Linked DNA regions of Struthio camelus. The protein of the gene in region 1 interacts with the protein of each later gene in a biochemical or structural test. Links are inferred from orthologs where the notes say so. Each region holds a gene or a part of one and is shown on either strand. Other genes may lie near its edges.

Region 1 (7,267 bases):
ATAGATGAAACCAGTGATTGATTTCAGCTATTTAAATCCTGATATTTTCACCTTACTTTGTTCAACTCAAAGGCAGCAGTACCAGAGAAAGACAAACCCCAAAAGTTATTTCCCAAGGTATCTTTGGGCTGCTGTCTTCATATGCATATACTTGTGGTGACTGAAGAAAAATTTCAAGCAAGGTTGGCAAATTGCCACAGTGGTGGGCAAATACCAAAAGAGAAGGTAGATTGTTTGTAACAGATAATTTAAGTCAAACTGAACTAAGAACGGTATAGTCGGAGGGACCCCTGACTAGGTAAACTATAGTTTTACCAAAGATACCCACACCAGATTAAGTGGTTCTCAGTAACTGATCTGTAACTGTGTAACACCCTATTCTGGTTTTACAACTAAGGTTCCAAAAAAGCACTTCAGAGGACTTATCAGATCTTTCTAGAGCCAAATCTGGACAGGTCTAGCTTTCAGTTTTGTAAGTGATATGGTAGTAAAGCCTGGTTCCCATCAAAACAGTGAAAGAAGGAGATATCCTCTTGGCGCTCTGAAACTGCTCTTTTCCTACTGTGGGACATAAGTGCCCCTGGACCAGGCAGGACAAAGCCATGCACCAGGCCCTCTGGACTTCCAATAGTCCTGGCTGTAATCTACCCTAGCTACTTGCCTTCACCTCAATCATGCATCAGGTCAGCCTTCTGGACGTGTTGGTCTACAAACGAGTTAAGATCAAGAGGCCCCCCACAATGAAGCCCAACCTATCACAAAGACTTTCGCCTCCTAACTGCAGTCCCAAATCTGAGGCTAATAACAGCCATGCATAAGACGCTCTTTTTTGTCTTATCCCCTCTAGAGTTTTAATAAAACATGGGTGCCTGCCTACTTATCACAGATTTCCCTGTAATACTAAATTATAAAGGAATGTGCATGCACACAGAGATGTAAGTGATTGCAGCAGTATATCCATATAACTAACATACTATCTTAAATCTGCCTGTGTTTAAAAAAAAAAAAATGTGTGCGCACAAAACTAATCTGCCAAAGGAGGGAAATTAAAAGTTTTAATCCATTCTGTATCAACACAAAACATTTAGGCTGAGTAAGCCTGAGAATCATTCAAAAGACAGCAACTGTGAAAAGCCAAGCTACTTCCTCTGAGGCCTAAGACGCAGGCTATGCTCCCTCAGTTTCATAAAATTCAGTCATGTGCTGTGCAGCCTCACAATGGGAATACTGCCTGTGTTTATCTGAGTGTCAGTTTTGCTTCCTATTACAAGTTTAAAAAATTTTTTCTTTTCTCTTGTCACAATCCTAGAAAGCCAAAGAAAAGCTGAACTGCAATTTGCAAGCCCTTCTGCTCCGGTTTCCAAGCTTATGCCAACATCTTTCTCAACCTCCCCCTGTACCTCAGTTCAAGGCTTAGTTTGTTGGGTTTCTTTTAGTAGAGTATCACTTTCATAAAACATTGGCTTGTACAAATGACAAATGGGTTATCATTTTTGCTTCCCTATATCTAGAATTAAAAAAACAAAAACCCAAGAGTTCTATACTGGCTTGAAACAGAAAGCTTTTTGCCATAGTGATCATTATTACTCTTAATCACCTTGTGAAGTTTTAGAATTTTGAAGGGAACTCAGAGGGCTTACAAATTTCATACCTCAAGATATATGTATTCTGTAACTACAGAGAGAACAGGTTCATGTACCAATTTGTCAAAAGCTGCAACTTAATTTTTCTTTCCTTTTTAAATCAAAATAATAAAAAAGTGTAATGTCAATCAAGTAGAAATAAAAGCAAACCTTGCAAAAATCAACATTCCACGTTTATCTAATTATTTATGGAACTCTGCAGTATTAAGGTGAATCAATAGACTATCACAGTCCAATGATCAAACTCCCAGACTAATATAACACATTATTACCACTCACAAAGTCAGCACTAGGAGGAATTTCCGTAAGGGTTGCCCTAGGAGAATTTAAGGCATTGACAATATCCTTCATCTTCAATTCCCTACCCAGTGATCTAGCTACAAAAGCACATGGATAATGAATAGCACCACTTACTTTGGAATATAAATGCCTACCTGATTTAAGCGTCCATTAGCTACCTCTTCCTTACACCTTGCTGTCACTAAACACACAGTTGGGAAGATTCTTATTCCATCATCCTCTTTAAAGGGACACACTGTTTCCATGGGCTTAAAAGAAGGTGTGACAGTTAAATCATATAAGGGCAGATTTAAATACCACCATTAACACCAGCGAATCTGACTTGATTAGTGACAAGTTGTGGTTTAACTTTAGGAAATCATTATAGGGCTCTGTTGGGAATCTCTCATATGCACATACAAATGAAAAGCAATAAATAATGGCATAGCTTCCAGAAAAAGCAAAACAAGAAGGGAGCAGAGTTTGAGTTAGTGCTTAACTTCTTGGGACCTTGCTATTTATCATATGGATTCAAATAATGTGGAGCTTACTGGCACACACACAACTTTCCTCTGGCCATAGGCCGGCTTCCCCAGTCACCTAAATCTTTAAATTCTCTCTACTGTGGATGGCCTGCCTGAGGAAGCAGATTCACGTAACTTCAGCTATGCCCATGGCTAACAGAATTTTGTTTCCTTTTCCACAGCTTTTACTTCTTCAGAAGGGGTGTCCTGCTGGCTCCGCTTCAGAACCGAATTCAGCATTTCTGGATAAGTTAAGCAGGCCCAGATGTCGCCATGTCACTTAGGACGATCTTCCACAAAAAGTGGGTATTTTAGAAAGTTTGAGTGTCGTCTTCCAGTTGAAATCAGGGACATAAGCTCTGCCATCATCAAAACTTGCTCTTACAACCAAGCCAATGTTATTTCCATGTTTGCATTTTAAGGAGATTTATTCTGCTCTTAGTACTTAGGCATAGGTTTCGGGTAGGGTCAGTCGCTTGTTTGGAGATTTTCACCAAAGAAATTGAAGAATTATAGAAGCTTATAATGAACTCTGCTGGCCTGTGTAGCTTATTAGAATTTATTTTTGTAGTAAATAATTTTCTCATATTAAAATTATCTTGGGTTCAACTAATATCTAGATTTATATTCCTCACAACGCTTATAGTAACTGTTTTCAAGGTTTACCCAGGAACAAGGCTGCATTCTGCATTTACGTAGCGCCTAGCATAGCGGCAATTGTTTCCTTCCTGTGGCAACAAACACAAGCCTTACAAAGCCACAGAGGTGACAATAACTAATGAAGAGCAGCCATTATCCACCCCCATACATTTCTATAAGCATCATATAAGCCACATCAGAGCAGCACACAATAATTCCCTCAATACAAAGGCAATTATAAAGCGACCAAGAAGATGGAAACGTCTACAGGCAGCCTGCATATAAATCACATCTTTGCCTTCAAGCCTACATTCAGACTTTCCATTACGATCACTGATCTCAGAGAGGTAAGTGAATGCTGTTCCAGTTCAAGTCCTTCCGGTAGCAAGACGAGATGCATCCAGTAGGAAATCTGAAGCAAAAGTTAGATCCCTGGCATATGAAAAAAAGTCACAATGGATCTCCTGGCTTCAGTGAAGCATTTATATTTGCTGAGGTTAATGCAAACTAACCTCCTCCCCCGCAACATCTGTTCACACCAAGCTTAGGTCAAAGAAATGTTATTATAGCATCTCTACTGACAAAGTGAAATAAAATACTCAATAATAAAGAGGTGATACAGAAACCAGGGAAATTTCCTGGATTGGTTACAGATTTTTTGAGGGGTGTAGGAAGGGAACTGGAAATGGGAAGGGAAAGAGATTCAGACCTGTTTGCTGTCTAAGTCTTAGGTCTGTATACTTCCTGTCTCATAGAGCTGTACTTTTGGAGGAGCAGTATGTGCTTTCTGTAGTGATTACATAAGCATCTGTTCCTCAAGCTCCTTAAAGGAAACAGTGGAGTAGATTTCTTTTTTTTAAATACAAATATTTCCAAAGCTTAGAAAAACTAACATACACTGCTGTCAAATTCAGAAATTCATCTCCAAAGGGCAAGAAACGCACTTGCAACTGAGATCTAAGTAACTTACTCTGTTCATTCATAGATCAGAAAAAGCAATTTTATAAGCTTACATATCCGAGGAAACGAAAAGCATCAGGTGCTGCATGGATTTGGAAAAGCTAGACTGGTAGATTAAGAAAGATATATATATATTATATATATATATATATATGTTACAAACGTCTCAGCATCTTGCATGTACAAAAACTTTTGATTGATACAGCAATTAAAATGCAGAACTGAAGAAATTTATGTCCTGAAAACACCCAATATAAGGAACTGCAAAGAAAAATCTTCCCACATTACCAGTGCCCGAGGGAAAAAGAGAATTCCAAAGGCATTGCCACTTGAGTAACTTTTAATCCAATCAAGTTCTGTTGCTGTTATCCGAATAGTTTTGCAGACAGGCAGATTTCTGTGCATGCTCACAGATATATACACACAGGTATACATCCATTTATTACGGACAAACACATTCCTCCATTGAGGAACCTACTCAACTCACAAAACTCCTAATTTATAAGGCCTTCAAATTTTTTCTTCAATACAAAATTCCAGTTTTTAAACATTGAGTTCAGCCTGACATGGCAGCAAAAGAAGCTGCACAAACATCACAATTAACTCTATTAAAAATTCAGCATTCAAAAGCTCAACTCATAATCAATACAAAATCCTTACTGAAGAACTAAAGAAGAAAGCACTCATTTGCAGTTTATGTTCTCAAGCGAAAAGGACATTAGGGAAGATAATTCACTATTTGAAATATAAAAAGCAAAGCCTGAGGGAAGGGAACTGCCACTGTAATCCCCTGCCGACAGGTCTACCAAGAAGAAAAGGGCTGGCTTCCCTTGACCATAAAAGTTCCACTGGATAGCAGAGTACTTTTATTTGCCATAAACACTGGCTGATTAGGAACAGAACATGATTTAGGAGGACAGAAGGCCCAAAAGCTAAAAGGAGGGATATTGTCTCCTTCTCCTCCCTAGACCAGCAACGCCAACTCTGTTTGCTTCTCCTTTATTTCCCTGACTTTTTACCGTATCAGGATCACGCGGTCACCAGAAAAAGAAAGATGTACATACCCAAGCGGTAATTAAAGGATGACTGATGAATATTCATTTAGTAGATCAAGTGAACTTTGCCTCATATTTAAGCAGGATCTCAGCGAACTAAGTATTTCTATCATCAAAGCACTTGCTGTTTTGCCTAATAGTTGCCAAAGTGGGAAAACATCACTGGCAGAATAAGGGGCAAAGTGAGAAGGCTGTACTGATTTTTAACAGGCTGGATACAGGAACAAATACCAGACACCTTCACAGTACTGTGCTGAGGGAGTCCTTAAAACAGTCCAAGGCTCTGATTCATCATTCTTGTCGCATTTAGCTGGGACAGCTGAAGAGGCCACTGCCCCCTCCGATGAGGACAGTAGCTTCTTCAGTCACCATACCTCTACCTGACAGAGGCTATGAACTAGAGCCTTCAGACATCACAGTTCACAGTCATGTATACTAATATAAATTGAAAGCAATAGTACCTCCTGTTAATACATTGGGTTGTGGTGGCTTAGACCAGGCATACCACCGTTCTGTCACTCTCAGGTACAGGGGTATAATTATCTGCAGGGAGCTGGGGAGAATTTTTCAAATTGTCCCAGCTGGAGTCAGCAGAGGACGTTAATAAGAGTCCTTGCTTTCCCAATAGGCTGCATCCGAAAATTAATTTTCATTAATTAGTTTGTGTCATATGACTCCAAGAAAAGGACAGCACTACAAAGAGACAAGTGAGCTGATGGTCAGTGAGTATGCAGCAACCAAGGCAGGCAAGCAAAAATTATTTAGAAATGCCTCCTTACATGGGTTTTAAAGGGCATCCAGACCCATGCTCCCCGGCAAGAGAGTTCAGCTGCGATTAGCATAGTCACTATTATAAAGATTAAAGAGGGAATATTTCTACAGCAAAGCATGCACATAAACCTTTTGTCAAAAAAAATAACGCTGACAGTGATGCGTATCATTTGAGTAGCCAGCTTATTTTCAAAACTGAACAGGTGAAATGTATTCATGCAAATTTAGGTTTAGACCCTTGTAAAGCTTTGTTAACAAAAAAGGTATCCTTTATTCAACAAAGCTTTAGAGCTTTAAGCTTGTATTATAAACTTCAAAGATCTACTTCACAAATCTGTCATTAATAGCCATGTTTTCTACTCCTCTCATCCAGTGAAATGACCACAAAACCCGTTTCTTCACTACTGCCAACAGAAAACACACACAGACACACACAAACGCAGGTTACCAAAGAAAGTAGAAGTGATCCAGAGACTAGATAATACTTTTTTTTTTTTTTTTTTTTTTTTTTTTTAAAACTCACACATGAATCTGTATAAACTCTTCAGAGGTCAATAACAGTTACATACGAGCCATTATCTTGGCACCAATGGGCATTAGAGATCCACATGCTCCACTCACGTCTGTGTCTAAAACAGGGCCAAAAAGCAAACCTGACATCTGGACAGCACTTCTTGTAAAGAGTGGGACCTTGACAAATAGCTTTTATTTTGAAGTTAAGACTTATCAAAACTTGTGAATTTACTAAAGCCAGGGATCCTGGCAAGCTCCAAGAACACAGGCTCCTTTTTCCATTCACTAATGTGCTGAGGAAACCATGCGACCACTTACAGCTACTAGAAAATGTTTCTGTCTGGTGTAAATCTAAAACAAATATCTGAAACAGATGGCTCCTTTGGTAACACAGATAAGTAGGATAACTTTTTCTGACTGAACATCAGAAAGCTCTAGCAAAAAGAACGATGGAAAGGATTTTGCAAATGTTAGCATATAGGAAAATGCAAGGGGAGGAACAAAGGTCCTTACATTACCACAACTGGCTATAAAACGGGGACATCCTTTGCGGAGAATGGGCCCCATAAATCTAGTCCCTGTGCTAACAGAACCACACCACCTAAGTCACTGTGGCCAGCTCCGGCAGTATCAAAGTCCTGAGAATTTGGACGTCTTCCTAGAGATCTGTAGGCCGTGAAATGTTAGAGGTCAGGGGGTTTTTTTGCTTACGTTCCTCATTTTTGTAATTGTATGAATGTTTGAGAGCACAGTCCAAAAGGCTCAAGAACCATAAGAGTTGATATTTTAAGTTGCCTTTATTCGATTCCATTCTTAAGTAAATTTCACTTTTACGGGGGAAGGACAGAAGAGGTCCCTCAAGGGCTCACCAGCTTTGGATGCA
Region 2 (7,796 bases), on another chromosome or scaffold:
CAGCCATGCAGTGTCACTTCTCTTACCCCACTTCACTCCACACGTGCAAAGCTATAGACATGGTTCCTCACCTCTGCCCTTGCCACTGGCACATGCTAGAAGCACCTGCATGTCCCTGCCTCACCGGAGCTGCACCTGGCCACCATCCATGCAACAGTACCACATAAATACAAGCTGGCAGAGTGAGGGGCATAGCCCTGAGGGACCTGGCAGCACAGCCCAAACGTCCACAAGGGAGGGATGCCATCAGGCACCTTAGGCAGAGATGCAGCCTGGGAGGCTCAATTCAGGATGCATCCTTACACTGCTAAGGGAGAACAGAGTCATGTACGGGACAGCTCCATGCTGGCAGGGTAGTGCATCTCTCTTTTGCGCTGTGCACTAAAGCAGAGCACTTTAGGCTGCTGGATTGATGGGATCAGTCTCCAGAGTAAAGCTGGGGAGCTTTACCCAGCTACAGACTATGGGGTTTTGTTTGATGGGAAACGCCAACTGGAATGAGGAGAAACATTTGGCAGATTTGGGTTGACTTTGGTAAAGCATTTTGATTGCAGAAAATAATAATTATGACTATTATGATTATTTTATCATTCTCCTCAAGGTTTAATTAGCTGTAAAACAAAAGCCTTTGTGTTTCTGTTCCATTCAAAACGACATTTCCTCCCAAAAGAAATTTTAAAAATACAACAGGCTATTTTAAGACACTCAGAAATTGAATGAGATGCTTAGTTAGATCTTAGTTCTTTGTGGGTTTCTCACCTTCCTTAAGTTGGCTTTTTTTAATTTGCAGACACTGTTTTGGGGCTCAGTGTCCTTGGCCCCCTAACAACATGTCACAGTACTGGTCCACCCACCCAAGCTGGATATGGGTTTAGACTTCATGAACTGGTAGGGAGTAGCTCACACATAGGTTGGCTTTCTATGCATAAACATGGTGAACACGTGGTGTCTGCCACTGCATCATCCAGAAGCTAGCGCCAATGTCTGACTTTTATCCAGAGCATTAAATTGAGATGTATGAACATGTGGCAAATCCCTGCTTACTCGGAACAACGTCCGTGTTTGATGCATGAGATGAGCATGAGCGTCTCTTCTTTGGCTTGCTCCTTGCTCTACCTGACATGCCAGAGGGAAACACCTTCCAACTGAGTGGGGAGTTTATCTCCTTGAAGCACTCAGCCAAGCCAGCTACTAAATGGGGGGGTTATCTCCCCCCTTTGCCACTTCATCCCCATGGAGCACATTGTAGAAACCAAGCAACAGTGGCAAGGCCAAGGATGAAGGCTTCCACCAGCAAGCATGTAAGAGTAGCCCTCCCAGGTCAGCTCACAGGTGAATCTAGTCCAGCACACTGTCATGGTCTGTAGTCAACCACAGGTGTCCAGGGAAATCAGGGAAATGCAAAGCAACAGGAATCCTTAGCAAGAGCTCCTTGGAGCGCACTTCCGACTTCCAAGGACTGTGGCAGAGGGACAGGCTGAGCCAGAGGCAGCATGATAAAACTTAACAGTTCTTGCATTATTCTACCACAAATCTGACCCTTTGTGCATTAGCACAAAATCCCTTGGAGTGAGGATAGGGAAGCACTGGGCTAGCTGGGCTCTCTAGCACTAAGTATCTCCAAGAATCAGTAGACAGGCATCCATTACGGCTAGTCAAGGCAGAATACTTCCTGCCTTGGAAAAGAGGACAGACTAGATAAATCCTCCAAGGCTCAGTATGAACACTGTTAGAGCTATCTGATCCACACCTACCTACCAATAGGGAAACTGAGGTATAGCCCCACAATGGTGATCTCAGCTGCGGTTTTCTGCAGCCAAGCACACCAAGAAGTTATACACTAGACTTCCACTAGCCTGGCCTGAATGTCCTGGACTCTGACAGTCCAAACAAGATTTTTCTTTATTTTTTTTTTGTAGACATCACACTGGTAAGTAAAGCCCTGTGGCTCACACCTAGCAGTGCTAGAGCATCAGCTCCACATGGGAATTTGGGACACGTGTGCTTAGCTCCTGCATGTGCAAGCAGCAGTCCTGGTTGCCTCCCCTTGGCCATGCCATGCAAGAGGGACAGGCACAGCAACATGCTCCGGTTTTCTCTAGCTGCACTCAGCACGGGGCGAAGGGCCGGCTGCAGGGTGGATGGGGACAACACCAGCAGCACTGTGGTTGTGTAAGTCACGCGTACAGCGCCAAAGTGCAGGTGTCCTGGAGCTGTTAGGAAACAGAAGTGTCAAACCATGTGCAGTTACATAAAGAAATAATAATGTACCAAAGGCAGATAAAGTCATGCTAAATCACTGCTCTCCCTCCTTCCTGGATATCCGATATTTCTCTTCATTTCCCCCATCCCTAATACCCTTCTCCCACATTCATCTCTCTGCTGCACGGAGGAATTTGAGATTAACCATGACGAATGGAGTGATTTCCTTGTCTAGGGGACTGTTTTATTTTTCCTCTGCCACATCTGACAAGTTGCATTTTCCTATAAATCCCCTCAATTAGGCCTTTAAAACAGCACTGCAGTCGTTTCCCTGATATATGGGGAAGGAATTATCTTAATGTCCCTGGCAACCACTTCCTTGACTAAAAATAGTTTGGGTGCACTTTCGCTTCCCTCCCATCACCCCATGGTTTTGGCATCTGATAAGAGCATGGTCACTGCATGCATCTTGCCCAGAGGATGAACTGCAAGGCCTGAGGAAGGGGAAAACTGATGCTTTTGCCTTTTTTCTCACCGTGACCAGCCTCGGTTCGCTCTTCCTGTGCTCAAGAGGGGCGTGGGAAAACAGGGTCAAAGCCTGCTTTGCCTGGAGGACTTGAACCCGACCTCTTCCCCACTGTCTTTTCCAGGCTCTTCTAGGGTGAGGGAACTTTCTCAAGGCCTCCTCTCAAAACTTTTGCATTTTAAATTGGGCTAATTGAAGCTCAAGGTAATACAAAGGTGGATCTGGAGTCTATCTGGTCCCGTCACTTGTCAAAGGGCTGGGATGTTAGGAGACCTAAGAAATAACAAGTTTCCTGAATTTACTAGAGCTTTACATATTCTCAAACTCCTTTCCCAAAGCAATGACACAGTTGATTAAATCCAGCTAATGCTGGAAGATTTATGTCTGCGTTGTTTATTGCTTTAGTTACTGGGCCAGGAGGATTTACCCTTTGAGGCCTGGGATGAACCATCCACACAGCTCCTGGGTGTAACCCTTGGCTGGCTGCTCACGTGCTACGGTCCAGCCAGCGGCCAGCAATCCTATGTACAACCACGTCAGCCAGGGGTGCCTGGAAGAGAGCAGGATATGACCCTGGCCCCTACATGGTTTGGAGAGAGACACTTGCCACTGACACGTTGGCACTTAGATATGGGAAGGGGGAAATGTCTCTGGTCCCTACAGGAGCATCGTGACTGGAGGAGGCTGCTGGGAAGAAGGTGTCAATGCTGATGTGACATCTCCCATCATCCCTTTATTTTCCCGGAGATGCAGCTTGACTCTAGTTGTTTCCACAAGGAAAGAAAAAGCCATAACTTGCTGACTGGCTCTTTCTCCTGCTGCTGAGTCACTGCAAGCAGGTAGACTCCCGGCACCTTTCCCTGGGGCCAGCACAGCGGCTGTGGTTTGCACCAGCCCCGCAAACCCCAGGCAGGATGTGGAAAGCGTGCCCCAAAACCCTACCCCAACTCAGGGAGCGGGCTTCACCTGGCGCAGGCCACGCCCAGAGATTCGACACCTGGGACATAGGGAAGTCTCTCCCACGCTCACAGCCGGGGCTGACGCATCCCCAAGCACCACTGGAGCTGGCAGGAGTGTCTCATGGTTAGGGTGGAAGGGAAAAAATTAGTCAAGACCCCAGAAGTCTTGTTCTGCATGACCTCTCACTGCCCTCCACCCTCCCCAGGACACTTGTCCCCAACGGACACATCTCCCCCAAACCAGTGCCCCTCTACCCCATTAGTTCAAGCCCTCCTGTTTCTGCTGCATTGCCTGTGCCGTGCCACTGCCAGTCCTGCTGGGGAAGCCGCTCTCCACCCAGCAGCCTCCCACCTCCCCTGTTACTCAGTTTCCCCTGTTATAGCCTGGTCTGCTTCCTCCAGTCCAAAGCCAAGCCTAGGCTCTCCTGGGGCTTGGGCGAGGCTTACTTGTGCTGCAGGCACAAGGATGGACATGGGGCCATAGGGGTAAGGAGCAGCTCATCTCTGCCAGGGAGTTACAAGGCACAGGGCTGCTGCAGCCCTAGAGGAAGCTGATCAGGGCCAGCAGAGCAAGGGAAGACAAGAAGGCACCAAGAGCCCCTGCTCCCTCTCCAGAGGGAGATGCTCAAAGGAAAGGACAGATCCTTGCTCTCCCTTCCCTCAAACCCTCTCCCAGAGCCTTGAGCAAATCCTCCTAAAAGTTGCAGTCAAAATCCCTTTGCATACACACACACACACAAACACAGGTGTCCACAGCCTCCATAAAAGCGCTTGCAGCAACAGCAAAACGCCTGCCTTTGCGGAGGAATAGTCTCCCACTAGAGAGCGGAGGGACAGAGCCGGGGGACGTGGTCCAGGCTGGGCAGGGGCTTGCCTGCCCCACGTAGGGACGCATCCCCAGCAGGGCAAGGCAGGGCAGGGGGACTGAAGGGCTTCCCTGGGCAATCGGAAAGTTTGGGTTGCAAAAGATGCTGAGGGAGGGGATGGCAAGAGAGGAAGAGTTGCAAGGCACCGGGGCTGTGGAGGAAGGAAAAGGGGAGGAGGAAGCAGCGGAGGAGGAGGGAAAGACAGGGGGAGTGGGAGGATGGCAGAAGAGATGTAACCCATCCCCAGCCGAGCAGGGGAGCTGGAAGGTGGGGAGCCCAGACGACCGGCTCGCAGCAAGATTATAAAAGGCAGGAGCAGGTTGCTGAGCAAAGGAGAGGGAAGGCGAAAGGCACCTGCTTCCCTCTGCACAGCCCAGCTGAGACTCAGGGTGGCGGGAGTTGCAGTGCCAAGAGCCTGGGTCCGTGTCGATGACAAGCTCGTTTACACAAAGCCCAGAGGATTTTACCCCAGACAGCATAAGGAGCCCAGCAGAAGTGGGGACTGCTGCCAAACATGCCTGGGAGAGCTGGGCATAGTGGGAGTTAAGGATGATGTCCGGCATACGTCCTACCCTCCTCCTCTTCCTCCTCCTGCAGGTAAGATGCTCGCAAGCCCTCTTCTCCCGGATGGGTTCTCCTTCCTTCCTCCCCACCACCCCTTTGCCTCCTGGACTGCCAGGTTTCTCTTGAGTGACTTTTCCATTGCTTTGAATGAAGGGAAAAGTGAAATGAGAAAAACCATTACCAAGAGCCCCCAGAAGGATTCCTCCAGTCAAGTCATGGGGTCTTGGCAAGTTCCTGGTGACCAAAAAAAGGCGGGGGGTGGGGGGGGAGGGAGCTGGCATCAGTGAAAGGATCAGTCCAAGGGGGGGACTCCCAGCCTGGAAGCAGGGGCTGAGGAACAGGGCATGTCCCCAGGCCCTGGCGGTGGCCAGGAGAGCCCAGCTCAGGGCTAGCAGCCGGGCATGCTGGAGGAGCCAGGGCAAGCTGCCTTGCAGACCAGCCTGGCTCTGCCTTGCACCTCCCAGTGTCACCAGCTGCCACCAGTTTCCCTTATTGTGCTGAGAGAGGGCGGGGGGGTGGCTGCTCTGGGGGTGTGATGGACAGGGATGGCACAAATGCGTAGCCTAATTCTATCCCCTCGGTTGTTTTCCTAAAGAAACTGCTCCTTTTTTCCCCATCAAGCACAAGACTTTCCTCTTTAAATTGTTCACGATGGAACTGTAGCCACTGCTAATTTTGCAGCTCTGCACAAAATGCAAATGCTTTGTCAGAAACAATATTCCTCCTCCCCGAGAGCTCATCGAAAAAGCAAATGTTCCCAACCCAAAGAATGTTTAAATCCCAAACCCTGGGGGGATGACAAGAAAAAAAGGTTTTCAGTGAAAACCTGAGCATTATATCAACAAAACTGGATATGCAGTTACACAAAACAATCAGCTTTTTGCTTAAACGTCTGTGTCAAGAGGGTGAAAAAGAATTTGCATGGCTCTCCACAAAATGCTGTCTCAATAGCACAGTTGCGATGCAGAGTTGAAACGACAGGAAAAAGCAGCGGGTCATCCCTCCCACCTTAGCACAGTTGCAGTTTGTATCCCATGGGCTGGTTTCAGAGCCATGCACCACCCAGCAGCAAGATCAGGGAGAAGAATTTAGCTTCACATTTGGAATAAGAAAGTTCTCACTTAAGTGATGCGAAGAGCTAATACGTGCCAGCCAAGCCTGCTGCCAAGTTGGTGTTGCTTTTTAGAAGCTCCTCTTCTGAACAACCTGCTTTCTTCTTTAACTGCATAGCCCTTATTCTGTTTTATGAGAGCTCTTCTGCGGTTATGTTACCCAGTGCAGGTTTTGTTTGGCTCTGATGTAAGAAAAGGTGAGGAAGAGCAGCCCTGCACCCATGCATGGGGACAACATTGGCAAAGCAACAACGCCTGCGCAAGAGAGGCAGGTTCTGCAGTGGGCAATCTTAGTCTGCCCGCCGAGAGTTCAGTCTTGTGAGAAGCCCCAGCTATTCCTGGCCATGGGCAAACAGGTCTCCCGATAGTGCTGATGGTCCTCAACAACCACTCCGGCAAACTGGAGACTACCCCGATAGTGCTGATGGTCCTCAACAACCACTCTGGCAAACCGGAGACTACCCAACCGCATTGGCCAGCCCTGAAAAGAAACGCTCAAGCAAAAAAGTACCCCTTCCCAATATAATTTTTTTCCTGAGAAACATATGCATTCAGAATTCAGCCCCACTTTCAGCACAGTCCAAGCCCCTGAAAGCCCCAGCACCGCAATTTTCCCATGTGGCCATTGCACGGGGCCTTGCATGGGGTCTAGGAGCGCGGCCCCAGCCATGTGTGAGGCCAAGCTTCTCGTCTCTAAGCACTCTTAGCCGCATGGGCTAAAAGTGACCACGAAACTGTAGCCCAAAGGGAGAGCGTCCCTGCAGCCAGGCAGACCCAAACCAGCATCCAGCCAGGAGCGCAGAGACCTGCAGCGGGTGCTAATCTCTCCTGCTTCGGCAGGTTTTGCAGGCTGCAGATCTCTGAGCTGGCACAACTAAGGTGTTTCCAACGCACCTGGCTGTCAGCTCCAGTTTAGCATAGGTTTGTCCCCGTTGCCTTCCCAGGTAGACATCCCTTGGAGAAAGGACAAACGGACAAAGAGATAGGCAGCCAAACTTGAAACAGGCTGCAAAATGCTCTTTTTGTGCCCTACAACTCATTTAAACAAACGAAACAGAAAGAAACAGTTCACCTGCAGTTTTGTCAGGGACTGATGACATTTCTGGGGCTGATAAAGTCCTATTATTTTATGAAAATGAGTTTGATGGGGTGGGGGGTGGGAGATTCCCCTCTCCCTTGCCCTCCTCCACATCCAGTAACAATAAACATGAAAAAGGGCCACCACCCCTTCGCTACTCCAATCTCTGCAGGAGACGTGACGCCTGCAGCAGCAGGACGTGCTGACCCTGGGGATCTTCCAGTCCTGGATTTCCTTAAAAGCCTGAGTTAATTCTGGGTGTGTGAAATCACCCCCGTGATTTCACATCTCCAGTGAAAAAGCGAATGGCAATGGCGCAGCCTGTTCCCAGAATAGCTGCTGTATTGCCATAGGATGAATGTATAGAAATACAATGAGTCTAGCCTGCGGACACCGTTCGACTCCATCCTGAAATACAGCCCTGCTCCCCAGAAATTCAGCGGAGAGCCTGCTGCAGGTCCAGCCCAGAAGTCTGTTGTGAGTGATGAG

The links. The genes of interacting proteins can lie anywhere in the genome.
Region 2: the proteins of PDZK1 (region 1) and CRHR1 form a complex in vitro, tested with the Homo sapiens proteins (2 studies listed by BioGRID and IntAct, with this or other methods). The link is inferred for Struthio camelus from reciprocal best matches to the Homo sapiens genes PDZK1 and CRHR1.

The regions. Positions count from the first base shown.
Region 1 is NC_090942.1:106,741,956-106,749,222, reverse strand, and holds the start of PDZK1 (Na(+)/H(+) exchange regulatory cofactor NHE-RF3), read left to right. Parts: upstream 1-4,260; 5' UTR 4,261-7,267. UniProt on the Homo sapiens protein: A scaffold protein that connects plasma membrane proteins and regulatory components, regulating their surface expression in epithelial cells apical domains.
Region 2 is NC_090966.1:3,502,322-3,510,117, forward strand, and holds the start of CRHR1 (corticotropin-releasing factor receptor 1), read left to right. Parts: upstream 1-4,781; 5' UTR 4,782-5,102; coding exon 5,103-5,150; intron 5,151-7,796.